6 linked regions of the Oryctolagus cuniculus genome follow. The protein of the gene in region 4 interacts with the protein of the main gene of each other region in a pairwise test. Links are inferred from orthologs where the notes say so. Each region holds a gene or a part of one and is shown on either strand. Other genes may lie near its edges. The genes, in order: ZNRF2, RNF111, RNF25, UBE2E1, ZNRF1 and CNOT4.

Evidence for each region.
Region 1: the proteins of UBE2E1 (region 4) and ZNRF2 interact in a two-hybrid assay, tested with the Homo sapiens proteins (2 studies listed by BioGRID). The link is inferred for Oryctolagus cuniculus from reciprocal best matches to the Homo sapiens genes UBE2E1 and ZNRF2.
Region 2: the proteins of UBE2E1 (region 4) and RNF111 interact in a two-hybrid assay, tested with the Homo sapiens proteins (2 studies listed by BioGRID and IntAct). The link is inferred for Oryctolagus cuniculus from reciprocal best matches to the Homo sapiens genes UBE2E1 and RNF111.
Region 3: the proteins of UBE2E1 (region 4) and RNF25 interact in binary tests that used the Homo sapiens proteins (3 or more experiments, as listed by UniProt). The link is inferred for Oryctolagus cuniculus from reciprocal best matches to the Homo sapiens genes UBE2E1 and RNF25.
Region 5: the proteins of UBE2E1 (region 4) and ZNRF1 interact in binary tests that used the Homo sapiens proteins (3 or more experiments, as listed by UniProt). The link is inferred for Oryctolagus cuniculus from reciprocal best matches to the Homo sapiens genes UBE2E1 and ZNRF1.
Region 6: the proteins of UBE2E1 (region 4) and CNOT4 interact in a two-hybrid assay, tested with the Homo sapiens proteins (2 studies listed by BioGRID). The link is inferred for Oryctolagus cuniculus from reciprocal best matches to the Homo sapiens genes UBE2E1 and CNOT4.

The regions. Positions count from the first base shown.
Region 1 is NC_091447.1:21,603,827-21,607,765, forward strand, and holds the start of ZNRF2 (E3 ubiquitin-protein ligase ZNRF2), read left to right. Parts: upstream 1-1,139; 5' UTR 1,140-2,999; coding exon 3,000-3,489; intron 3,490-3,571; exon of another isoform or gene 3,572-3,769; intron 3,770-3,939. UniProt on the Homo sapiens protein: E3 ubiquitin-protein ligase that plays a role in the establishment and maintenance of neuronal transmission and plasticity. Ubiquitinates the Na(+)/K(+) ATPase alpha-1 subunit/ATP1A1 and thereby influences its endocytosis and/or degradation.
Region 2 is NC_091443.1:81,824,062-81,828,236, forward strand, and holds the start of RNF111 (E3 ubiquitin-protein ligase Arkadia), read left to right. Parts: upstream 1-1,375; 5' UTR 1,376-2,052; intron 2,053-4,175. Other genes in the region: SLTM (SAFB-like transcription modulator), read right to left, coding at 1-12, 1,028-1,189. UniProt on the Homo sapiens protein: E3 ubiquitin-protein ligase. Required for mesoderm patterning during embryonic development. Acts as an enhancer of the transcriptional responses of the SMAD2/SMAD3 effectors, which are activated downstream of BMP.
Region 3 is NC_091434.1:20,765,457-20,769,548, forward strand, and holds the start of RNF25 (E3 ubiquitin-protein ligase RNF25), read left to right. Parts: upstream 1-1,292; 5' UTR 1,293-1,465; coding exon 1,466-1,506; intron 1,507-4,092. Other genes in the region: STK36 (serine/threonine-protein kinase 36), read right to left, coding at 534-617. UniProt on the Homo sapiens protein: E3 ubiquitin-protein ligase that plays a key role in the RNF14-RNF25 translation quality control pathway, a pathway that takes place when a ribosome has stalled during translation, and which promotes ubiquitination and degradation of translation factors on stalled ribosomes.
Region 4 is NC_091435.1:159,786,927-159,790,384, forward strand, and holds the end of UBE2E1 (ubiquitin-conjugating enzyme E2 E1), read left to right. Parts: intron 1-1,198; coding exon 1,199-1,346; intron 1,347-2,169; coding exon 2,170-2,267; 3' UTR 2,268-2,958; downstream 2,959-3,458. UniProt on the Homo sapiens protein: Accepts ubiquitin from the E1 complex and catalyzes its covalent attachment to other proteins. Catalyzes the covalent attachment of ISG15 to other proteins. Mediates the selective degradation of short-lived and abnormal proteins.
Region 5 is NC_091449.1:57,474,958-57,479,255, reverse strand, and holds the start of ZNRF1 (E3 ubiquitin-protein ligase ZNRF1), read right to left. Parts: upstream 2,801-4,298; 5' UTR 2,169-2,800; coding exon 1,742-2,168; intron 1-1,741. UniProt on the Homo sapiens protein: E3 ubiquitin-protein ligase that plays a role in different processes including cell differentiation, receptor recycling or regulation of inflammation. Mediates the ubiquitination of AKT1 and GLUL, thereby playing a role in neuron cells differentiation.
Region 6 is NC_091434.1:171,313,175-171,317,118, forward strand, and holds the start of CNOT4 (CCR4-NOT transcription complex subunit 4), read right to left. Parts: upstream 2,801-3,944; 5' UTR 2,546-2,800; intron 1-2,545. UniProt on the Homo sapiens protein: Has E3 ubiquitin ligase activity, promoting ubiquitination and degradation of target proteins. Involved in activation of the JAK/STAT pathway. Catalyzes ubiquitination of methylated RBM15.

The sequences.
Region 1 (3,939 bases), on a different chromosome or scaffold from region 4:
TGGGTTTCCCACGTGGGTGCAGGGGCCAAAAGTATTAGGGTCATTTTCAACTGCTTTCCCAAGCACATCAGCAGGGGGCTGGATCAAAAGTGGTGGGAATCAGTGCCCACATGGGGTGCCAGCACTGTAGGCCATAGCTTAACTCACTGCACACAACACTTCAATGTCATCTTCAGATGATTCCTCTGTGTACTCAAGTTTGCAAAGCACTCATTTAGACCATCATTTGTCAACTGCAGATTAAAACCCATTAGTGGGTTATAAAATCAGTCCTGTGGGTGGTGAGCAGGATTTTACAAAAGTAAAATAGAATGGAACAGAAAATGGAGTGGCTCCATGTGACATGGGCATTATCTCATAAAGCTTGCTTCAGTTCTGCCAAGGGGTGTACACCCCTGTGGACTGATTTGGACGACATAGTACTTCAGTTTTTGCAGAACCGGAAGGGTTTGTTAATGAAGCTATCCATTTTAAGTGAAGTCTGAACCATTTGTTGGATGATGAAACATCTTGACAGTTTCATGGGATTGCCGTTAGGTTCAGGGATTCAGAGGGCTGAGGAGAGCAGAGGGTGGAGACAGAGCGCCCACCACGAGGGAGCCGTCCAGGAGTCCGAAAGTGACCTCAAGGGAGGACTAGGGAGGAAGTACCTGCATGCACTCGATGATTCATTCTCATTTACTGTGCCATCACAGGTCTCAGGCGTTGTGTGAGACAGAAGGGGTACAGATGTGAGCTCCACCCTGGGTCCCACTGTTTAGTGACAAGAGGTCTAATACTGCAATCCGTGCTGCTCTACAGCACTGAACGGACACACAGAAGGCAGTCTGTGATGGTGGGCCGGGGTAGGGGGGCTGCAGGGGCATCTGTAGGGAGAAGATGCTCAAACGAATGACGACCACATGTTAACGTGATATTCCATGTAAAAGCATTGAGTCGCTTTGCTCTCACACTTAGTGTGCATGTGTACATCCATAACCATTCATATATTCTTCATGTACATATATTCTTGTTCAAAAACGTGATTACCATGCCCTTTGAAAGAATGAGAAAATCATTACATAAATGGCTCATTGCAAACATGGGGAGCGAGGAGGGAAGACCAAGTATTTCTGTCATTTGTACAAAAATATTATTTTCTTTTTTTAAATATTTATTTATTTACTTGAAAATCAGAGTTACACAGAGAGAAAAGGAGGGAGGGAGGGACGGAGGGAGGGGGAGAGAGAGAGAGGGAGAGAGGGAGAGAGAGAGAGAGGCTTCCAATCCCTGGTGCACTCCCCAAATGGCCTTAATGGTGGGAGCCAGGAGCTTCTTCCAGGTCTCCCACATGGGCGCAGGGGCCCAAAGACTTAGGCCATCTTCCTCTGCTTTCCCAGGGCATAGCAGAGAGCTGTATTGGAAGTGGAGCAGTCAGGACTCAAACTGGTGCACATACGGGACGCTGGCACTGTAGGCGCCAAACCCATATTATTTTCACATAGAGGATACGTCAAGGCTTTTCAGCATAGGTGGGTCGAATGTCCCGACCACGCTCGGCAGTCAAAATGCCACTCCATAGTTAAGAACACACTGGGAATTTTATTAAATCCCATTTTAGAGAAACGACAGGATTTTATGGCAGCAGACGCCCTAGGGTTTTAACACAAATATTCCAGGCAGGGAAGCTAAAACCCAAAAAGGTTAAAAAAATTGCTCCCTATCCATAACTTAGCCCTAAGGGGCAGGTGGGATCAACCTTAGCTCTCCCAGCTCCGCTCTGCCCCAGGCCCGGGGCTCCTTCAGGTCCGGTGGGCAGCCGCCGCCTTGGTCCTGTCTCCTGATTCCGCTGTTCTGTCAGTGTTAGCAGCATTGCGGAGCCTCTGGTTTTCATCTCTTAAATCAGCGTGTAAGGTAACACACACCCAAGTCAAACGCTCGGGACACAGGCACAGCCTTCACGCTCCAGCCTGCACACGCTCTTCTCCCGGGTCCGCGGGCCACGTGTGGAAGGAGGGGCCGCCTTCTGATTGGCGCCCCGAAGGACTCTATCCTCCAATCGGCGTAGGGCCAGAGGTGGCGGAGGGGGCGCGCCCTGGCCGGCGGGGCGGGGCCGGCGACTTGTCCATCATCGAGTCCGCGGGTGGTGGCAGCACCTACCACACCGCCTTACCTTGTTGAGGCGGGGCCGGGGCCGCGCGAGGCGGAGCCAGATCGGCGGGAGCCAATCCACGGGACGGAGCGAGGGGGGACGGGGGCGGGGTCTTCGCACGCAGCCCAAACACACGGGCCCGGGCGCACCCTGCAGCCGCGCGGTTTCTCGGCCTTCCGGTGTGAAGCCGGGGGAGCCTCCTCCCTCCTGGGCGCCCCCGCCCTACCGGCCCTCCTTCGGCCTGGAGAGGGGAGGGGGAGGCCGGGAGGCGGTTGCCGGGAAGCGCGCGCCGCCCCTCCGTCGCCTCCTCCCTTCACGCGCCACCCGTTTTCCCTCTTTCTCCGTTAATAACAGCTGGGTGGCGGGGGGAGGAGGGAAGGTGGCCCCGGCGGAGGCTGGGCGGGCGCCTCCCACTCAGCCGCGAGCCGCCGTGGGAGCCGGAGGATGGCGGCGGTAGCAGCGGCCGCCCGGGAGGAGGCGGTGCCGAGGCCCAGGGCGCAGAGCGCGGCGGCGGCGGCGGCGGCGGCAGAGCGCGGCAGCGGCCCGTCGTGGCGCACCAGAACCGAAAGCAGCGGCAGCCGCGCGGCCACCTGAGCGAACCCACCCCCGCCTCGGCCGGCGAGCGGCGCCCGCCGCCGGGCCCTCCCTCCTCGCCTCGCTTCGCCTCCCGCGCCCGCGTCAAGTCACCGGCCTCGGCCGCGAGAAGAGCGCGCGCCGGGCACCGACCGCCCCTCGGGGCGCCGGGCGGCGGCCCTGGACGTGCGGGGGCCCCTGTGGGCCGGCCGCGGAGCCTCGGCCCTGCCCGCTCGCTCCCGCCTTCCCGGAGCTCGGGGCGCCGCGCGCGGGCCCGGCCCGGGGCGAGGCGGACATGGGCGCCAAGCAGAGCGGCCCGGCCGCCGCTAACGGCCGCACCCGCGCCTACTCGGGCTCGGATCTACCTTCCAGCAGCAGCAGCGGCGGGGTCAACGGAACGGCGGGCGGCGGCGGCGGCGGCGGCGGAGCTCGGGCCGCGGCCGCGGGCAGGTTTCCGGCTCAGGTGCCCGGCGCGCACCAGCCTAGCGCCTCGGGCGGCGCCGCGGCGGCCTCGGCGGCCCCGGCGGCCCCGCGGAGCCGCTCCCTCGGCGGGGCCGTGGGCAGCGTGGCGTCGGGGGCCCGCGCGGCGCAGTCCTCCTTCAACATCCCCAACAGCAGCAGCGGCCCGTACGGCTCGCAGGACTCGGTGCACAGCAGCCCGGAGGACGGCGGCGGCGGTGGCGGCGGCGGCAGCGGCAGGGACCGGCCGGCGGGCGGGGGCCCCGGCGGGCCGCGCCTGGTGATCGGCTCCTTACCAGCCCACCTCTCGCCGCACATGTTCGGAGGTACGGCCCCCTTCCCCGCGCGCCCGGCCCCGCACGTGGGCCGCGGCCACCGGGTATTTTTGCCCTTCTCCTTTTCGCTTACCGTCTTTGGGTGCTGGGTCTCCGGCGCCCGGGCCGCTCACAGGGAAGGGAGCGCACTTAACCCCTGCGGTGCCGCGGCCGCCGGTCGTGCACCTGCACGCTCACCCGGTGGCTGCCCCCTGGAGAGCCGTGAGGGCGGGGGGAGTGGAGCAGGTGCTTCTTTAAGACCGACCAGCATCTCTCGTGGTTGTGGCTTGCAGCCCCCAGGGAGGCAGGAGGAGACCCGGTGCCAAATGTGGTTCTGTCTGGGAACTTGGTGTGGGGAGCGGCACTAAGGGCCCGGAGTCAGGGGCTCTCCGACATTGGGGGATTCGAGAAAGCGGGGAGTTAATAGCTCTTTGGAGCGAATGGTTTCACCTACTGTGTACT
Region 2 (4,175 bases), on a different chromosome or scaffold from region 4:
CTCTTCAATAGCCTACATTAGAAAGAGAAGTTAATATGCTACACAGTCTATCTAAACTTATTTTATAAAAACGAAATGAAAAAAAAAATTAGCAAACCTCAAGCCTCAAGACATTAGAATTGCCAGTCATTTCATAAACCGACTTCAAAAAACAAACAAACGAAAAAAGGGCAATTAAACTACACGAGAGAGAAACTTTCGGGGGGGGGGGGGGGTTGGTTACAAATCGTTAGGTATCAAAATCACACGGAGCTTTAAATTCTACCGAGTCGACAATTAAATGTCATGCCGAACAAAAATCTAAATACGCTCTACTGCGGAAAAGGTGCTAGCTACTGAAGTAAATAACTAAGGAGTGTTCCTAATTTCCATAACGCAAACTGACTGCTCTTCTACTACTATTCCAACGCTCACTCAAATAAACCAGAAAGCAGATCACTACGCTGATGCAAAAACTAAAAACCCAGTAGAAAACAAAACCTTTCTCTCACCCACCCATCAACTCCCACTACCAGTCCCCCTCCCCCAGAAGGGGAGAAAACGGTTGGGCACAATTAAACGGTAACTTCGCAGAAGTCACCAAAGTAACCATTCCCTCCGAGGCCAAGAAGTGCACGCGCTCACCATGGCTCAAGGCTGGGGACCCAGCGACCCCCAGGTCTTCACGATCGCCCTTGGGAGGCCGCGCCGGCCAGCCGTAGCCTTCGCAGCCTGGCGGGGACGTCCCGGGGGAGGGGGGACGCGCTCGGCTGCTGCGGTCGGTCCCAGGCGGCTCGCGGGCCCCCGGCGAGCCAGGCCAGGCCCGGCCCGGCCCGGCCCAGCGCGCGGGGGCGGGGGCGCCGCGGCAGGGTCCTCGCCCTGCACACACGCGCGCGCGCACACACGCGCGCGCGCGGCCGCCGCCCGGGACCCCCTCGCCGCTCCGCCCCGCGGCTCCCGGCGGCTGCGGGCGCCCGGGCAGCTGCGGCGGAGACGGGGCGCCGAGACGCGGCCTAAGCTCGCCCTCGCGGACCACGCCGGGTCTCACCTGCTTGAGTCGGGAAATGAGCACCGTCTTGACTCCAGTGATGTCTAAGTTCCGCCGCTTCAGCTCGGACTTAAGATCGATGACCCGCAGATCGGTGATCTTTTTACCTTCCGCCTGACCTGAGGCGGCCGAGGCTGCCACAGCACCGGCAGCGGCAGCCATCTTAGGAGAGCGTAGCGAGTGGGCTGCAGGGCGGCGGCAGCAGCGCCAACTTCCACCCGGGCCTCGGCGGCCGGCGGCGCCGCACAGCGCTGCGCACAATGAGCCGCTAGCCCCGCCCCCGGTCCGCCACCCCGGCGCAACCTGCAGCCGCAGCCAGCACCCGGATGACGGGCGCGCCTGCGCACTGCGCGGGGAGGGGCGGCCGGCGCGTACGGCCGCGGCCACCTGGGCGCTGCGACCCTCTTGCGTGGGCCGGGAGGTCAGGCTTGTCTAACCGCACCAACGTCCGTCGCACCGCCTTTCCCCGCCGCCGGGCGAGGCGTTTTCCTGCAACGTCTCGAGTCTTGAGCCAGAACGAGGTGTTGGGCACTACCCCGCGTTCAAAGTTCACGCGTGCCCCAAAGGGGCGTGTGCGCGCCCTGAACCATTCCCAGGGAAACGCTTGGTCAGCCCTGCTGAGTAATCGAAAACAAAGGTGGCCAGTGTGCACGCACGAGCTAGGGTCCCCGGGCTCCACGCAAAAGGCCTCCACGGAGCCCAAAGAACAGGAAGGGCCGGCCTGGGTGACATGTCCCGCTGTCTGTCCCGGGCAGTTCCGCCTGCAGCCCACCTAAGCGGACTTGGCTCTAGGGTTGCCCTGGCTCGCTTGAAAAACAGGAAAACCCACTCTCCGTGTTGGCCCCGGTCTGCCATCCTTCGCAGGGGACCTGAAGGTTCGACACGAAGTTATTCACTGACTGAGGACTTCCGTTTTTAAATTCTGCCAGAGGCTGTGTGCACGGTTTCGCCCACCCCCCCCCTCCCCCCCAAACTTGGATTCCGAGATCACTGACCATCTTCTTAAGGAGGACCAGCCTGTACAAGTGAGTACCTATCGGTAACATTAGCCAGCGTTATTAATCATCAAAGCAGACGCATTTATAGAACCAAACCATAAATTCGGTAAACTGAGTAGGATGCACAATTAACTATACTTGCATGTCCTGGTTTTGCAACTTGAATTGATGAGGCCTGACTTATTTAAGGTTGGGTTTTTTTCTGATTGACTAACGAGTTCCAAAGGAGGAAGCCTGGGCGTTCTAAAATAATACTTGACATTTGCGTAGTTCTTTTAGGGCGAAGGAGGCATTTTGACATACAATAACCCCCTTAATCCTTCCCAAGTCTGGCAGGAAAATCTCTGTAAGGCTTAGAGAGATTAAATGACTTGTCCGTGTTCACACAGCTGGTGTGTGGCAGAGCTATGCTCAAATCCAGTCCTCCTGATTCCAAATCCAGCTCTGTCTGCTACAACGTTGGTTTCACAGTCACAGTGTTTTAGAATTCAAAAGCTCCGTAGAAATCTTCTAACGCAATCCTCTCCTTTTTTATAGGAGAAGATCTTAAGGGATTTGACTAGGGACCCACAGCTAATTATTGGCTACATTTACTCTAAATCTCAGATTTCTTCCCAGAGTCTTCCCACTCAGCCACTATTCTCCCATCTTCCGTAGACACATTTTTCTTTTTTAAAAATATATTTATTTGAAAGGCCGAGTTACAGAGAGAGAGAGAGAGAAAGATCTTCCATATGCTGGTTCACTCTCCAGACGGCTGCAACAGCCAGAGCTGCGCCAATATGGAGCCAGGAGCCAGGAGATTCTTCCCTGTCTCCCATATGGGTGCAGGGCCCCAAGCACTTGGGCCATCTTCCACTGCTTTCCCAGGTATATTAGCAGGGAGCTGGATTGGAAGTGGAGTAGCCAGGACTTCAACCAGCACCCATATGGGATGCTAGTGTCAAAGGTGGCTAATTTACCAACTATGCCACAATACTGGCCCCCTGTGAACACTTTTAAGAATGGATTATGCTAACCAAAACTAACAGTGTGATTGAAAATAGAAGGAAAAGAAAAGTAATAGAGTTTTAGAACAAAGATTACTGTAGGGGCCAGCCCTGTGGCATAGAGGATAAAGCCACTGCTTGCAGTGCCGACATCCCATATGGGCAGCTCCTGGCTCCTACCTTCTGCTCAACACAGCTCCAGCTGTTGCAGCCATCTGGGGAGTGAGCCAGCAGATGGAAGACCTCTCTCTCTCTGTCTCTGTGCCTCTGCCTCTCTTTAACTCTGCCTTTCAAATAAATAAATAAATCTTTTAAAAAAGAGATTGCTGAGGGGACATAACAGCAAAGCTTTACGTGTGATTGCTCTTAGAATAGTAGTGCCATTCTATTTGGAATTTTTACTTGCAAGTGGTTAAGTGAAAAGCAAGAAAGCAAACATGGCAATAGGTTACCAAAGTAAGTGAAGCAAAATATTAATTATTATTGGAAACAAATGTTGCAAAATGTTAATTAGGAAACATAGGGCTTTTTAAAAAATAAGGTTGAAGTTATTTACCATAACTTGGTTGAACATAACAATTCATCTATTTTTTATAATAGGGAAAAATAAAATGGAGAGAAGACATCACTTTTCACATGCAGGATATTTAATTTTGTCATTTAACCTATGATTCTTATTTCAAAATTACCTAAAGTAACTTACTAGTTAATGAATATTTCTTTAGTACAATATAATGTTTCAAATACATTTAGGTGAAGGAACATGATAATTTTTCTCAAGATTCAGTTTATTATTTGGATATTTAATTTTTCCTAAAGCTAATAGAGCTATCTCCCATTCTTCACCAACGTCCTGGACCATGTTGTGGACAAAACAAAGCTCTGAGCTGCTCCAGTCATGCTTATCTTTTTATATGCACTCATGTTTGTATACCAGGAACTTCAGAAAGTTCACAGAAAATTTGCCCTGTCTTTTATTTTTATTTTTTATTTATTTGACAGAATTATAGACAGGGAGAGAGAGACAGAGAAAGGTCTTCCTTCCATTGGTTCACTCCCCAAATGGCCACTACGGCCAGCGCTGTGCTGATCTGAAGCCAGGAGCCAGGTGCTTCTCCTGGTCTCCCAAGCACTTGGGCCATCTTCCACTGCCATCCTCCA
Region 3 (4,092 bases), on a different chromosome or scaffold from region 4:
GCCACTGAACAGAGCTACAATCTCAGCCTAACTTCAGAACTCCAGAACTCAGACTGCAGATCGTCTGAGTAACTCCATGACACCTGTTAGTCTCCTACCTCCACCTCCCCCACGGATGGCACCCTGGCCTTACCCAGGAGTCCCCCATCCTGGCCCAGGAGGATATATCCTCTGCTCAACAGATGCTTTGGTGGATTCTGGGAGAGGTGTTCCGAGTGCACCGAGTAAACAAATAAATACTATTTTTCGTCTTAATCATACTATGCAGGAAGGGAGAAACCACCTGCACTCTCTTCTTTCCTCTTCATTTTTCTTTCCTCCTTTCCCCCTCTATCTCATCTAAGTCTAGAAAGTAGTGGAGCTGGGATCTGAACCCCAGCAATCCACCTGCAGGGCTCATGCTCCCTAAGATGTAGGAAGGAGAGAGTCCCTTAAGAATACAGGTCGGTATAAATGCATGCCGCTGGCTCTGTTTTCCACTAGAGTTTGGGGTGCCGAATCCCACCCAAAAGACAGCCCTCTTCGTCCACCACCTGAGCACTGTATTTTTTTCGACCCTTGTACACTCTCCCAAAAGAGCCTTCTCCAATCATCTCCAACACGTGGTACTTTTCCATGACAGTGGCTGCAGAGTTTCTCAGAAGGAAGAAGTTAGAGGCGGTGGTTTCGAGCTACGGATCCAGGGACAGTTCGACACATCGGGGAGGCCTGGTTCGGGCAGGGGAGAAGAGGCAACATTAGCCGCCTTGCCTTTTCGCTTTCTCATAATAAAACAGGTCTTAGAAGCACAGGAAGGCAGAGCGGACCAAAAGACCACGAGCTCCTGGCACAACCGGAGCGTCTCCCTGGAGTTCCTTTTCTTCAGCGCCCTGCCGCCCACCCAACATCCCCTCTGCTTCTCACGCCCCCCAGCCTAGCCCACGCGACCCCGCCCCCCTCAAACCAGCCTCGCCCATCGACCCCGCCTTCCAGACTACCCCTGGTTCCCGCCACTCCCAACTTCCTCTGCACCCGCGCCCAGACCCTCGTCCACGCGCTTCGCTGGCGGGGGCCCGCCTCTCACCCCCAGCCGAGGAGCTCGAAGCTCCTCTGGCCGAGGGACGCCGGCGCTGGCCTTCAGCCCCGTCCCGTCTGGCTGCCTGCGTGCTGCGCCTGGCGGAGTTTGCCTCCACTCGCTCCCTAGTCCTGGTCTCTTTAGGCTTCCGTTCTCACCAATTTTACGCGCTAGAACCGGTCACAAGTTCCGAGGACAACGGCGCTCAGAGGTGGTGGGAGGGATGGTGGGCCGTCCATAGGCACCTCCTGGGACACTTCCGAACTGTCTCTCGGCCATCAGGTCCCACTAAGGACCCGGAGTCCGCGGTTGCCTAGAAACGGCCCCGGCTGGCGTCCCCCCGCCCCCGTGGTTTTCCGCCTCCGACTTCCCCAAGGGCACTTCCGGTTCCGGCCGCGGGCCGGAGGCGACATGGCGGCGTCAGCGTCGGCAGCTGCAGGGGAGGAGGACTGGTAACTTCGGGGGCATGGGCTTCGGTTGTCGGCCTGGCTCTGGCCGGGGGCACTCGGGGCGGCCGCAGACCCTCCGTGCGGCGGGCGTGTGGGGGTGGAGCAAGCGAGGAGGGTCGGCGGAGACGCTGACATCTCCTCCTAGGGTTGCTTCTGGACTTGGGCGCGGGAGGTGGAAGGGGCGCCGGTCTGCGAGGAGACAGCGCCGGCCCGGCCAGTTCGGGACGCACGTTCTCCGGTTGGATCCCCTCTGCTATGGCCTCACCCCATCCCGTCCTGTCCTCTGGAAGTGAATGTGCTCAGGGGCCCCGGCGATGCCTGCTCATCAGACCTCCCCACCTCGCCCACCCGGTGCCCTCCACCTTCTGGCCCCCTTGCCCCTTGGATCAGCCTCACTACCGCCCGCGCCTTCCTCAGCCTCCTCTCTCCCCAGCCGATCTAACGAGGGCTGTCCTGTGCGTGAAGCTTCACAACACAGAGAAAGCCCTCCTAGTTCTCTCGAGCATTCTTAACGAGAAGCCGGAACCTCCAAGGACTCTGGGACTTGGAAACAGGATAACGATGTGGGTTCACTCCACATATTAGCTGTGTGGTGCTAACCAGGCCATTTAGCCTCTGTGAGTCAGTGTCCTCAGCTGTTAAAAAAACAAAAAAAGTGGGTGTGGCAGCTGCATCATAGAATGGTTGAGATGATCAGGATGCATTTGTAATATACATAGCCATCTTTGCTTTAATAACTTTTTTAAAAAAGATTGATTTATTTGGAAGGCAGAGTTAGAGAGGCAGATTTTCCATCCACGGGTTTACTCCCCAAATGGCCACAACTGCCAGGGCTGGGCCGATATGAAGCCAGGAGCCCATAGCCTCTTCCGGATCTCCCACGTGGGTGCAGGGGCCCAAGGACTTGGACCATCTTCTGCTGCTCTCCCAGGCGCATTAGCAGGGAACTGGATCAGAAGTGGAGCCGCCGGGACTTGCAGTGGCTTTACCTACTATGCCACAGCGCTGACCCCATATCTCTTGAGATCTGGGCACCTGCAGAAACTAGATGAGCCCAGAAGTGAAGTGATTTGCCAGAAGATACAAAGCTGTGACTGGGAATCCGGGTCTGACTCCAGATCTTCTCATCTTCCCATTTTTTTTCTGTCATCACCTTACCACCATCCCAGCCAGTACCTCCATCCAGGACCCAAGTCGTAGCTTGGTAGGCAGAGTATTGAAGGGCCAGTCTTGACTGAGGCTGCACCTCACTGTACCCTGGTTCAGGGAGCCCAGCCAGTGCTGACCACCTAGATGAGTGGTTTTCAAACTGTTCGGGGGAGCTTGTAGAGACACCTTGAGCCATGGAGAGAGCCGCAGTGACTGTAGCCGATAGCCTGTTGTGGTCTGAGTCCTCCCCAGTCCTGTGTGAGCAACCACTCATTTGTTATCTGTGAGGTGTACAGCTTTGTGTTGTGAAGTTTCTGCCTAAAGCTTTTTATTAAAAAAAAAAAGAACCACTGATAACAACTCCTGCTAGAGGTGCTCCTGGTGGAGAGGGAGCAGCACAGGGAACTGAAGCACGCCTGCTTCTGTGTACGGTCAGCCTCCATGTCCGCAGGTTCCCCATCCACGGATTGAAGCAGCTGCACGCCGGAAGTATTGGGTGGGCTGGAGCGGGACCCTGTACTGACATGTATAAACTTTCTTGTCATTGTTCCCTAAGCAGTACAGTACAACAGTTCGCATATTACTTACATTGTCTTACAGTCTTATAAGTAGGCTAGAGATGATTTAAAGTATGTGGGAGGAGGTTCATAGGATGTATGCAAATACTGTGTCAATTTATACAAGGACTGGAGCATCTGCATTTGGTATCTGTAGAGGGTCATGGAACCAGTCTCCCACAGATACCAAGAGATGCTTATCACCCAGGTACTACTGTGGATAGCAACTAAACATTCGTCGCCAGTGTCATGACAACAGCTGCTTCTGTGTTTAAAACTGTGTGTCCTGTAATTTACACCAGGACCATGGGTCCTCACCTGGACAGGCTGATCTAGATCAACCAGCCAGCCAGGATCATAATTAGATCCGGAGTACTCTGCTAACCACATCCTTCCCTCTTTGCTGTTAAAGGGAAGATTAATGCAAGCAGGGAAAAAGAGAACATAGACTAGCTTCTGTGGCCCAGATCCTCTTAGGTATTTTACATAAACACATCACCTTTAATCCTCAGAGTCACCCGAGAAAGTAGGTGACTTTAGCGGCACGTGGTAGATTGGGAACTCAGGCTTACTGAGGTTAAGTGACTACTCAGACCACGTAGCTGGTAAGCAGTTGGTACCTGTTAGCTAAGGCTGATGGCTCTGCTGCGACACAGCTGTACACTACCTGGATTTCTGTTAGGAGTGGTATCTCCTGGAGAAGGCTTGGCAAGAATGGTGTTGGCAGTGTATAGACAGTAGCCAGGCACTTGGATCCATGCTCAACAGTGCCAAAGGAAAAGACAGGAGCAGCAGTGGAAAGCTGATGCCCATGGATGGATGCCCTGTTTCTGGACCAGAGAGATGGTCAACAAGGGATAACCAACCATAGAGTGAAACAGAA
Region 4 (3,458 bases):
GTTTTCTCAGGGTAACTGTTAAGCACAAAAACTCAGTGGGGGGGGGGGGCAGGCTTTGTGGCCCAGTGCATCAAGCTACCACCCGGAGTGCCCACATCCCATACACCAGTGTCACTTCTGGCTACTGTTTCTATTTTTAATATTTGTTTTATATGCAGGCTTTGTGGCCCAGTGCATCAAGCTACCACCCGGGGTGCCCACATCCCATACACCAGTGTCACTTCTGGCTACTGTTTCTATTTTTAATATTTGTTTTATATATTTGAGAGAGAGACAGAGCTCTTCCATCCACTGGTTCACTCCCCAAATGCCTGCAACCACCCAGGCTGGGCCAAAGCTGAGGTCTGGGTGGTGGACCCAGGTCTCCCATGTGTGTGGCAGAGCGCCAATGACCTGAGCCATCGCCACTGCCACCCAGGGTCCGCATTTGCAGGGAGCCGGAGCCCGGAAGTGACCCAGGCACTGCTGTCATGGAGACGAGCATCTCAACTGCTGGGCTAAAAAGCCAGCCTCTGGTCATTTTTACTTTGGTCTCCTGATTTTTATTTGTGGAAATACATGATGTGCACCAATTAAAATAACTCCTGCTTCTGTGGCTCATGCTGACTGGTCCTTGCCCACACTGGGCTTCCCACTCATGGAGACCCCTCTATAAATCCTGGGGTTCTGGTAGACAGGGTGGCTGGGGGAACTGGTGTAACGCAAATCCTGAAGAGCTTTTTGGTTGTGTAGCCACTGCCTACTAAGCATTCTATCACATGCAGACTATGTTGTACCTCAGGTTTTATGAGGTATTGAAGATTGTGTAGTACTACCAGCTAACACAAGAGGTCAGCAAACAATTAGCTATTCATGCTTCAAAATGCTAATATTTAAACAGTAACCTTGCTGAAGATGAACTCAGGAGGGTACCGAACTTTTAGCTTTTTGAAGACATTACTTTTAAAATTGACAATTCCTGACACAGGACCAATGAACATTTAAAACTATATTAACTTTCCGTTTATTAGAGAGAGATTTTCCATCTGTTGGTTTGCTTCCCAAACGTGCGAACCTGCCAGAGTGCACTCTGCCAGGCTGAGACCCCACCTGGCCTCCCGCATGGGTGGCTTGGGTGCATTCGCAGGACCAGGCACCCCAAACAGCAGTCCCACAGTGTTATTCCTAAACAGTTGCTATTGTTTGACTTTTCTTTTAGGTTACATTTCGGACAAGAATCTATCACTGTAATATTAACAGTCAAGGAGTTATTTGCTTGGACATATTGAAAGATAATTGGAGTCCAGCACTAACTATTTCTAAAGTCCTCCTTTCCATCTGCTCACTTCTTACAGACTGTAATCCTGGTAAGGTTAACAATTCTCTACCTTGTTTTATTTTTCCTCACCTGAAAAAGACAAAAATGAAATTGCTTTTCAGAGAAAGTTCTAATGGAGATGAGTTGGCAAAGGGAGCAACTTCACCATTGTCTAGTATGTTCTAGGACAAAGTATTTTAAACTGAAGAGTCTAGTCTGTCCTAACCTCACCTGGCTCACTGTGCCAGAGCTGCTTACGGAGGCAGGGCTCAATTTTGAAATGGGATTTCTTTGCTAAATACTTAGTGACTACTGAAGTGTGATTTTGTTGGGACTGCATTCCATTAAAAGTTTTCCCTGGATAAGCTAATGTAAATGTAAAGATGCTGTGTTAAGTTGCCAGAAACACACTGTTCTCAACTGCAGCCCAGGTGTTGGCTGGCAACTGGAAGTGCCACGGCCACGAAGAACTCATACAGTGCCTATCGCCACCACACACGGCCACGAAGAGCTCATACAGTGCCTATCGCCACCACACAGCCACAAAGAGTTCATACAGTGCCTATCGCCACCACACACGGCCACGAAGAGCTCACACAGTGCACATCGCCACCACACGGCTGACGTCCTTTGTAGCCTGTAGCCCTGAGCCCGCCCAACATGTTAAGAGCAAAAGCGACTTACTGGGTGGTGTTGGTTGAGAAATGGTGTTAACCAAGCAGTAAAGCCAGACCAGTACTCTGTCCCTCCTCCATGCAGTGTTTTGTAAAGTCTGGAAGGAAAAATACCCAGAACAGTAGAGTGGTGTCTGACTGTAGAGTTGAAACTGCATTTTCCTTTCTCCGGAGTAACCTACATTCTTCTTCTTGCAGCCGACCCTCTGGTGGGCAGCATCGCCACCCAGTACATGACCAACAGAGCAGAGCACGACCGGATGGCCCGACAGTGGACCAAGAGATACGCCACATAAACGGGGTTTTCACAGTGCTTACATTACTTGTCTGTCACAGAAGAGAGCTGCTTATGATTTTGAAGGGATGGGGGAGGGTGGGAGTTGGTAAAGAGTAGGGTATTTCTATAACAGATATTATTCAGTCTTATTTCCTAAGATTTTGTTGTAACTTAAGGTATCTTGCTACAGTAGACAGAATTGGTAATAGCGACTTTTAAAATTGTCATTAGTTCTGCAGTATTAGCTAAAATGTAGAAAAGAATGTACATCTTGACATTTGGGTTTGGTTGCTTGTAGTCTGTAAAACAGCTTAATTTTGTACAGGTTACATACATGGCCATTGATGTAAAGTCCCTTTATGACTACATACTTTTGTTTAAAAAAATTGGAATTTGTTTTTCTCTTCTTGCAAGAGAATATTGATATTTAACAGAGTTTTTAGAGAGACTCATCTCATATATATAAAATGGACATGTGGCTATAAGACACCATATAGGAAATGAGTAGTTGATGTATTTTATTTTATATGCCAATCTACTTTATTGTGAAAAGATTAAAAGTTTGAATCAGGACTTGTGAAACCTGTAGTGAAATACCTTAAGCTGTTACCTGTGAGGCGTGGATAGGAGTTGCTCGGTGGATTGGTTATATGTTGTGGACTACTTAAGTCCTCGTTTGTTACTGTGCTAATAAACAATATTAAAAACAACCACCTGGTGCTGCTGGGTTTATTTTGTCTTTATTGACAGATCTTTGCTCTACAACAATTAAAAATACTTAATAAATAGCACTTACCTATGTTAGAATAGATACTTTTATACAACAGTAGACTTTGAGACGTCTTAGAGAAGGTTAAATAACAGGTTTTCAGAGACGAAGTGTCCTGCATCTCTTTACAAGCATTTTCTAACCTGCAGGTGCTGTGGGAGCAAGTCCACGAGAAACGGGTTGTGTCACAAGGATAGCTAAATGGGCACCACACTGGAGGGCAGTTTGACCCCACTTGAGGCTACACCTCCCATAACCCAGCAGTTCTGCTTTTGGGTCTCCTCCAGAGAAACCCAGCCAGGGCCACACACACTGACTACAGCATTTTAAAAGAATCCACTAACACAGATCTAAGCTGCATTCTGTGGAAAAAAAGCAAACTGTAAACGATCAGTAATCACCCCAGCTAAGCAGGAGTGTGCCTCAACAGCTGAGCGATAG
Region 5 (4,298 bases), on a different chromosome or scaffold from region 4:
GTGTGAAATCCTGGAATCCAAACTGTAAGCTCCTAACGTTGGCATGGAAGCTGGTAGTGGAATAAGGATAAAGAAGTTTCCAGTAAGAGACAAACTTCAGAAATGTTACAGAAAGAGAACTCCCTTTCTGCATTCCCCACCCAGCCTCTGTAAGACGCGTTTTGTCATACACAAAATTCTAACTCTACAGGGCTTCCCAATTTAAAACAAGATCCTAATGACAGTTCTTTTTCACATGAAACCACAACCATCTCGCAAATACAGCTGACTCTTTCTGTACTAAATTTCGTGAGAAAGATTTTTAATTTCAAAACGCCTAATGCTGATCAACTGAAGGTGCTGAAGGCAGTCATGCCTGCGCCTCGCTCAGGGCGGCCTGGGATGCAGGTCCGAGAAGCTCTCCTGACATCCAGAGGCCTGGGCAGGGCTAAGACACCAGCCTTGCAATTCAAAAGCCACGTCCAAATGTCACTATTTCTCTGCCCAAATAATTAAAGTTTATAGAAAAGACAAAAAAAAAAAAAAAAAAAAAGGCAAGACTATTTACAGGAAGAAAAAAGAAAGATCTAAAAAGGTCTACCTTATTTCAAAACAGCTGTAACCAGTGACCTGACAGATCCTTCCATAAAGTAACCTAAGAACAGGAGCAATCTTTCTCCCACACAATAGTTAATTTTCCCAACTCACCCAAAGGAGTCTGAATATGCAACTTCTTCATTCAATTTGCCAATCAGCAAATGGCAGCCCCACACCCCTTGTGACCGGTGTTCTAGAAGCCTGTCCTGGCTTCCCAGGGTAGCCAAGCAGACAGTCCTGTCTTCCTCCAGAGGCCCCGCCAGGCCTTCCCCGCTCTGCCCAGCAGAGCCTGGGAAATCCCCCTCCAGCTCTTTGCTGGCCTGCTACCAGGAGTTCACAAAATGAACCCAGCCCCATTCTTTGAATCCTCCTCTTCCCAGTCATGTGCCAACAGCCGGGCAATAACACCCCACCTTGCCAGGCTCTCGGTTGCAAAAAGACGCAGATTCACGGGAAGAGCAAGGAGTGGAAGGAAGAAGATGGAGGGATGGGAGAGTGGCTGACCAAGCCTGCTTCGTGCAGCACGGGTGACCGGAGCTCTGGTCCCACACAGAACCCTGAGGGAGGCTCCCTGCCTGGGCCCTGCCTACAGCAGGCCACACCTGTCTGTGCCAGCCGCCTGCCAGCTGCTCCATTTTTAGCAATTCAAACAGATTTCCAGCCGGGTGGCAAAACGGGGCACCCCACCCTCTCTCAGCCAGGGCGAGGGCCCTAATCCAAGCACCACTTGCCCCCAGTTTCATTTCTTCTCACACTCTTTGTCTCTTTTCACACTCTTCCACCGCTTGGTGGGAGCGGATCCAGCTGTCTGCTAACGGTGAGGCGGGCACCGTGCTGCAAAGGCAGGAACGAAGCACCCAAGCAGACTTGCTGAAAAGCCAGACAAGCCCTCTTCTCCGAGCAAGGAGATGCCGATAAAGGGGACTTCCACAGGCAGGTTTCACTCTGCCCATCCACAAGCGAACACATGCCTGGAGTCCTGCAGCCTCGCAGACAGCCACTCATCTACAGGGTGGGGACCCATTCATCCCTTGGCACCAAGAACCCAAAGAAAGGCTGACACATGCAGGTCGCATACTCCGTATCCAAACCTCGGAGCGCGCGAAGGTTTGGGGCGCCCTCTTTGCACTCCACCCTCTGAGGCCTCCACCACCCGTGGACTCACCACTGTGCGAGCTGAACCACCTGGGTGCGATGTGCAGAGGTAGAGCATCCGCCAGCGAGGCTCGGGAGCCCAGGTACAGCATCCCGTCTCTATGGTGACCGCCGCCAGTCTCCTGGTAACCATTGCCATGGGCAAAGGTGGAGTCGGACGCCGACCCTCCGCCGCCGCCGGGCGCCCTCTCGGAGTCGCCGGTGCCCCGGGAGGCGGGGGTGTAGAGGCCAAAGGGCACCCCGCCGGCCGTGCTGGGGTCCATGCCCATGCCCGCCACCGAGCTGACCGAACGGCTGCGCAGCCCCATGGCTCCGCCGCCCGTCCTGTAGTGCCCGAAGTGGGGCGCCCCTCCCGGCGGCGGCACGGCGCTGTCATCGGTGGAGACCCCCGGGAAAGGGCCTCGAGAGCGGGCTGCCGTGCTCTGCTTTCCCCCCATGCTCGCCCGGGCCCCGATGGGGCGGGAACCTGGGAGCCGAGACCCTCCCCCACTTCTCAGCAGCGGGGGGAGGGCTGGGCGAGCATAAAGGGGGAAGGAGTCAAAAAGGAGACCAGGAGGGGGAAAAGGGAAAAAAAGGAAAAGAAAAAAGAAAAAAAAAATTCCCGCGGGGAGGAGAAGCAGGCGGGCAGGGACCTCAAACTAAGAATTTAAAACGATCCAAGCCAAACGCATGTTTCCCTTCAAGGTCCAAAGAGGCGCAGTCCGGCGCGGGCTCCGCGCGCCACAGGCCGCCCCCGGGCTCGGAAAGCCGGGCGAGCCGCAGGGAAGGAGGGAGGGAGGCGGCGGGCGGGCGCAGGGAGGCGCCGGAGGAGGCCGTCCGCCCCACAGGAGGCGGCGGCGGAGGGCTGGGGGCGCCGGGCGCGTCCCCCGCCTCAGGACGCGGCGACCATGGACGGCGGCCCGGACCCCTCAGGCCGCGGGAGGGCTCGGCGCTGGGCGGCCAGGCGGAGCTCTGGAAGCCGCGGTCGCGTCGCGTCGCGCTCTGGCTCCAGCCGCCGCCGGCCCCGCCAGCCGCGCCGGCCCCTTGGTCCCGGGCAGCGCTCGCCGGCGCTCCTCGCCGCCGTGGAGACAATGGAGGGCGGCAGAGCGCAGGCGCGGCCCGCGCCCCCTCCCCCTCCCCCCCGCCGGGTTAACCCCTTCGCCGCCCCTGCGGCGCCCCGGCCGCGGCAGCCCCTGCGCTGCCCGGCCGCCCGCCCTCCTCCAGCGAGCCAGGGACGTGGATGGCCTGAGCCAGGGGACATCGGCCATGCAAGCAAGACGTCTTTCCCAAGCAAGCATTCGCAAAGAGGATAATTATTAAAGGGGGAAACCACTTATGGGGGAGGGGCGACCACGGTTCCAAGGGGTGGGAAGGGAACCCCGGGAAGAATGAAAATTATTCACTACGCCCACCTGGCTCTGAGGGTCACCGGTCGAGCTCCCCTCCCGGTCCAAATTTGCCCCCACAGCACCCTCTGGTGGACGTGGTGTCCAGTGTCTTGGAGGTTCCCCATCCAAGGACCCCAACATCGAGAAGCTTAGCATTTCGGGGTGTTCGCTGTTTCCAGATAAACAGCGCCCCGGGGCACTTGTGAATCCCAGGTTTTGCTGACATTAAATCAGAACTTCCTATCTGGGGCATTAAGCAGATGGGTCGATTCCTTTGCTAAAAAATGCAATGCTCAAAATCAATAAATTTATTATTAAAAATGGAAAGGTATAGACACGGAAAAAGAATATTTGGAAACTCCTTTGTCCAACACGGGAGCACTGTTTTGTTTGCCAAGCATTCTGGCATCCACCACAGGGTCAAGGACGCGGTAAGTACTCAGGTATTTGTTGACCCACCTGAATTTTGCAACCAAGAATGCCCTGTCCTTTTGTCACATAGTCACATCCATTCATTCATTGAGCAACGAGTTTTCAGGCACTAACTGCTGGCTCCGAGCACCATGATTTCCCACTTCTAAACCAAGAGCCAAAACAGGTTGTAAAAGAAAACCAAAAAGAACAGCTGGCTTTTGCCAGCATTTGGAGAGTGAACCAATGGGGTGAAAGCCCCCCTCTCTTTGTTCACTCTGCCTTTCAAGTAAATTTAAAAAAAAAATCCAGGTGAATGATCTAAAGAAAAATGGAAAAGCTTAAATTTAATCTAATTTCCTCCTAGGAGAAAAATTTTGAGGAATGAAGAGGGATGTTCAGATGCAGACACCAGATAGATCCCTCACAGACAGGCCCCGTCAGCGGCCTAAATACACACCACCAGATCCCTCACAGACAGGCCCCGTCGGCGGTCTAGATACACACCACCACCAGATCCCTCACAGAAACGCCCCGTCAGCAGTCTAGATACACACCACCAGATCCCTCACAGACAGGCCCCGTGGGCGGTCTAGATACACAATAACCATTGCAACCCACCCCTTTGCTTTCCATTTTATTCATTCCACACCTTTTTAGTGTATTTAACCAAATATTTAGTATCTTGTAAGTGCTAGGCACTATACTAGATTCTAGGATACCGTGGAGAACAAGACAGATAAACCACCTTTTCTCACAAATTTCAGAACCATTTCACATGCAAGCGGA
Region 6 (3,944 bases), on a different chromosome or scaffold from region 4:
TTGTGGCATAGAGTATTTCAAATTACCAGAAGAAACCATGCAAGTATGAAATTGTAATGATCATACCATCACAACTAAAAAACTATACAAAAATATTAAAAATCTCAGCTCCCTACTTTCCATCCAAATGTCAAAAACCTTTAAGTATCTTCTTCAGGCAGACTGAAGATCCAAAGTAAGTTCATTTTTTTTTAATTTAGAGGACTGAAACTAAGAATCTGATGACTACCAGCAAAAAGTAAGAGAGGAGAAAACTGAGAAAATAATTAGTGAAGTAAAAAAGCTTTACCAAAGAAAAAGATGTATTAAAATCATTTCCTCCTTCTGCCAGACAAACAGTCCTCTCCTAGAACACACTGCTACAACCCAGCCAAGTATGACTGCCAAGGGTTTCTAAACCTGTGTATGGATTGTTCAAAGTAGACAGCTTCTCCACCAGCATGAGCTATTACTGAGGAGATGAAGAGCAACTGTAGTGAATACACTTGTACTGATAAACTGCATTTAAGCAATATTTTTTTAAACCTTAAATTACAACCTAGGACAAGGTTTGTTATATAAATTATTTCCAATTCTCAAGAGTAGGGATTTATTTAGTTTCCCCAAATCAGGACTTAAATAGTTGACAGGAAAGAAGAAGTTTTATAAACAGCTTTTCTAATCTTAGCTTACTTTGGGTAAAACAGACCATTTATCACAATCAAGCAAATATAATGCCAGGTTTAAGATTCAAGCCTTACAGGTAAAATTTGCAAAAAATTACAATAAGCCAGTAATGTGCAAAAGTAACTAAAGGGAAACTGTATTCTATTTACATTTAAAGTATTCTTACTTTTGCAAGTAAGAGATGGATTCCTGCAAGAGATTGTTACTATAAACATTCTTACACATATCTTAAGAACATAATGTCTTATTTAAACTTGACATGTATGTATCTTATCTACGTAATCCTGTTTGCTTTTCTGGTAGTTCTTTTCCACAGTGGGTCTGCAGAAAGGCTCTTTCTTCCCATTGTGCCATTAGTCAGAATATTTCAATTTTGCTTTCTTCAAAACATGGACAGCGCAAGCCACCTCTCACTTGTAGTTTTCTGCTCCCTATTGCAGACAACAACCACAGGGACTGTCACCAAATACACACAGGCGTACAGCTTTGTCATTACTTTTCCCAGCCCCCTTCTTTTTTAAAGAAAAAAGATAGATAGATAGATAGATAGATAGATAGATAGATATGAGTGATTTAGGCTTACAAAGACTAGATTTTCTTCTGGGATACATAATAGATTTTCAAGAGAAGATAACGTTTTGGGATAACTATCACCCTAGAAGTGTCTAACAGAACTTTCCAAATCCAAAAATACTGTATAAACCTGATATTAGCTGGAGAGGAATTTTCCACTGAAACCATAAATAAAATATGTCCTCAATGAAGCTGAACATCAATATCACTCACTTGGTCAATAATCAATTCTGAACACAGAAGGGGTCCGTAACTCACATCTCATCAGAATAGCATCTATATTTGGGTGTGCAGTTCGCAGACGAGCCTTGGGGTACACCAGATTTATCTTACTTTGCAATGTTCAGGCTACTACTTATTGGTATAATCAGAGCCCACATTAAGTGTCCTGGGGAGAGGCAATTCAGCATGGAAAAAGCAGTGCAGAGAGGGAAAGAAAAGACAACACAGCGAGTCCTCGACACACAGATCGCCGAAAGCCAAACGTAGCCGCTCCTTCCCCGGCAGCCCCCACTCCCATCGCTCCACAGTGTGCTACCTCGCTCCAGTCACTTCCCAACTTCCTTCACTCCTCCAGGACCGAGCCGGGGCAGCCCTCTCGCCCGAAGTCTGTGTCGGAAGAGGCGAGGGACGGGCAGTCCCCCAGCAGGCTGAGGAACAGGTGGGTCGCAAGGAGCAGCGGCGGCACGAGCGAGACTCTTAGGGGCGGCTGCGGGATGACAGATGCGGTTCACGGAAGCCGGGCTGCACATCGGAAGCCGCCCCACGGAGGCAGACAGACCCGGGGGGACCGGCTGGAGGCGCCGCAGGGGGCGAGGGCGAACTCCAGAGTGGCAGCAGCGGAGCCAGAGGCCAGCGGCGACGACACGGGTCAGAGTGGGAGTGATGGCTCTGGGCTGGGGGGACCGGGGCCGGCGCGAAAGGACGACAGGGAGGGGAAAGGGGCCGGGGAGACAGGGAGGACCGAGACCCGAGGATCTGCCCCTAGAAAATCGCAGCGGGGGGAGACGCCGGGGAGCGGCAGCCGCCTCGCCCTCCCCAATTACAGAAACGATCGAAGGGGAGTCGGCGCTGGCCGCCGCGCTGCCTCCTGCCCCGCTCCCTTTTCCTGGTGCTAACTGCTGTGGCGTAGAGGGCTGAGGGAGAGAGAGGAGGAGGAGGAGGAAGGCCGAGGAGGAGGAGGCTGAGATGAGGCGGGGGGTGGGGAGGAAGGGGGGTGCGGCCTGCACAGTCCCAGCGAAGCCTCCGCTCTCTCGTAGCCGGTCAGCCCCGGGTTTCCCCTAAGCCCAGCCCCGCATAGACTCACCCGCCTGCCTTGCCTCGCTTTTCCCTTAGACGACTCCGCGCGCTGCCGCGTCCTCACAAGAGACCACTGAACGAGTGTCGGGGAGAAAACTCTTCAGAACCGGGCCTGATTGCTTCAGCGAGTCCGACCTTTACGGCTGAGAGGGAGACTCTCAGCTTTCGGTGGGTTCCACAGCCAGACGGGCCACCATCTTACATTTGGGTAAGACTCCTCTGGCCTCCGGTGCGCAGGCGCACGCCGATCCAGCCGGGAGGGGCGGGGGAGGGGCGGGAGGAGCGGCCGGCGGGCGAGTGGGAGGTTGCGGCGGCCTCTCCCGCGGCTCCCTGGGAGTTGTAGTCCTCGGAGGGTACCCGCCCAGGGGCAAGCTGGGAGTTGAAGTCCTCAGCCTTGAGGGCGGACGGGCTCGCCCACCTCACGTGGCTGTGAGACTGACGCCTTTCTTCGTGTTTTGCTTCCTCCTCAGGCGGCGTGTGCTGCCCCAATGTCATTTGTTCGGCGGTTGTCGTTAGCGATTCCGTGTGCTGAAATGCGGTAAACCGAAACTCGGGGCGAGCCTAGCCAATGTGAGGGGCGCCGGGGACCTGTCTTGGCCGCCGCGCCCAACTGAGGGCTCTCCAGGGGGCGGGGAGGAGGTGCAGGCAGAGCGCGGGATTCGACCTGGGGCGAGAACTGGAGACCGGCGTGGGTGTGGGTGCGCACCCGGAGCCTGAACTCGTGTGGGTGCGCACCCGGAGCCTGAACTCGTGTCCCCGTCTCCGCGCAGTCCCGGGGGCACCGCCCTGGAGCCCAGCCGCCGCGCGAAAGCTCCGGAGCAGGGATGTCCTGTGCGGGTTGCACGGGCGAGATGCATGGACTCCGAATACCGTGTGTTTCTGGACTGAAGAACACCGTGCGGACTTCGGTGCACGGTAGCGTTAGGCCGGGGTCCTGTCTGAACCGCCGAGTGCTCCCGGCGCACCGGCTGCAGGCCCGGGGGGGGGGGGGGGGAGGTGAAGGAACGCGACCCCAGCCCCCTCCAGCACCCAGGAGTGCGCGATCCCAAAGTGGTCCCTCGGCTTGGCCCCCTCGCACTCTGCTGGAAGTGGCGCTCCGAGCAGTCCTTTTAGCGTGTGAAGTGTATTTGCCCGTTCGTGCCTCTGATACTCACGGAGCTCCTCCTGTGTGTCTGGCACCGTGTTAAACTTTCGGGATACAGCGGTGGTCAAAACGGGGTCGCTATTCTAGTGTAAGGTAAGGGTGCGGTCAGGGACAGGCAGCAATCCATTCAAAAAAGACATTCTTAAAATGGGTGGTGGGGCGTAACTGATAAGGAAAATGTTTAAAACAAAGAAGGGGAGTAGGGAAACACGTTGCACTTTTAGGTCTATGAACCTAATCTTACTGGGACAAAAAAAAAAAA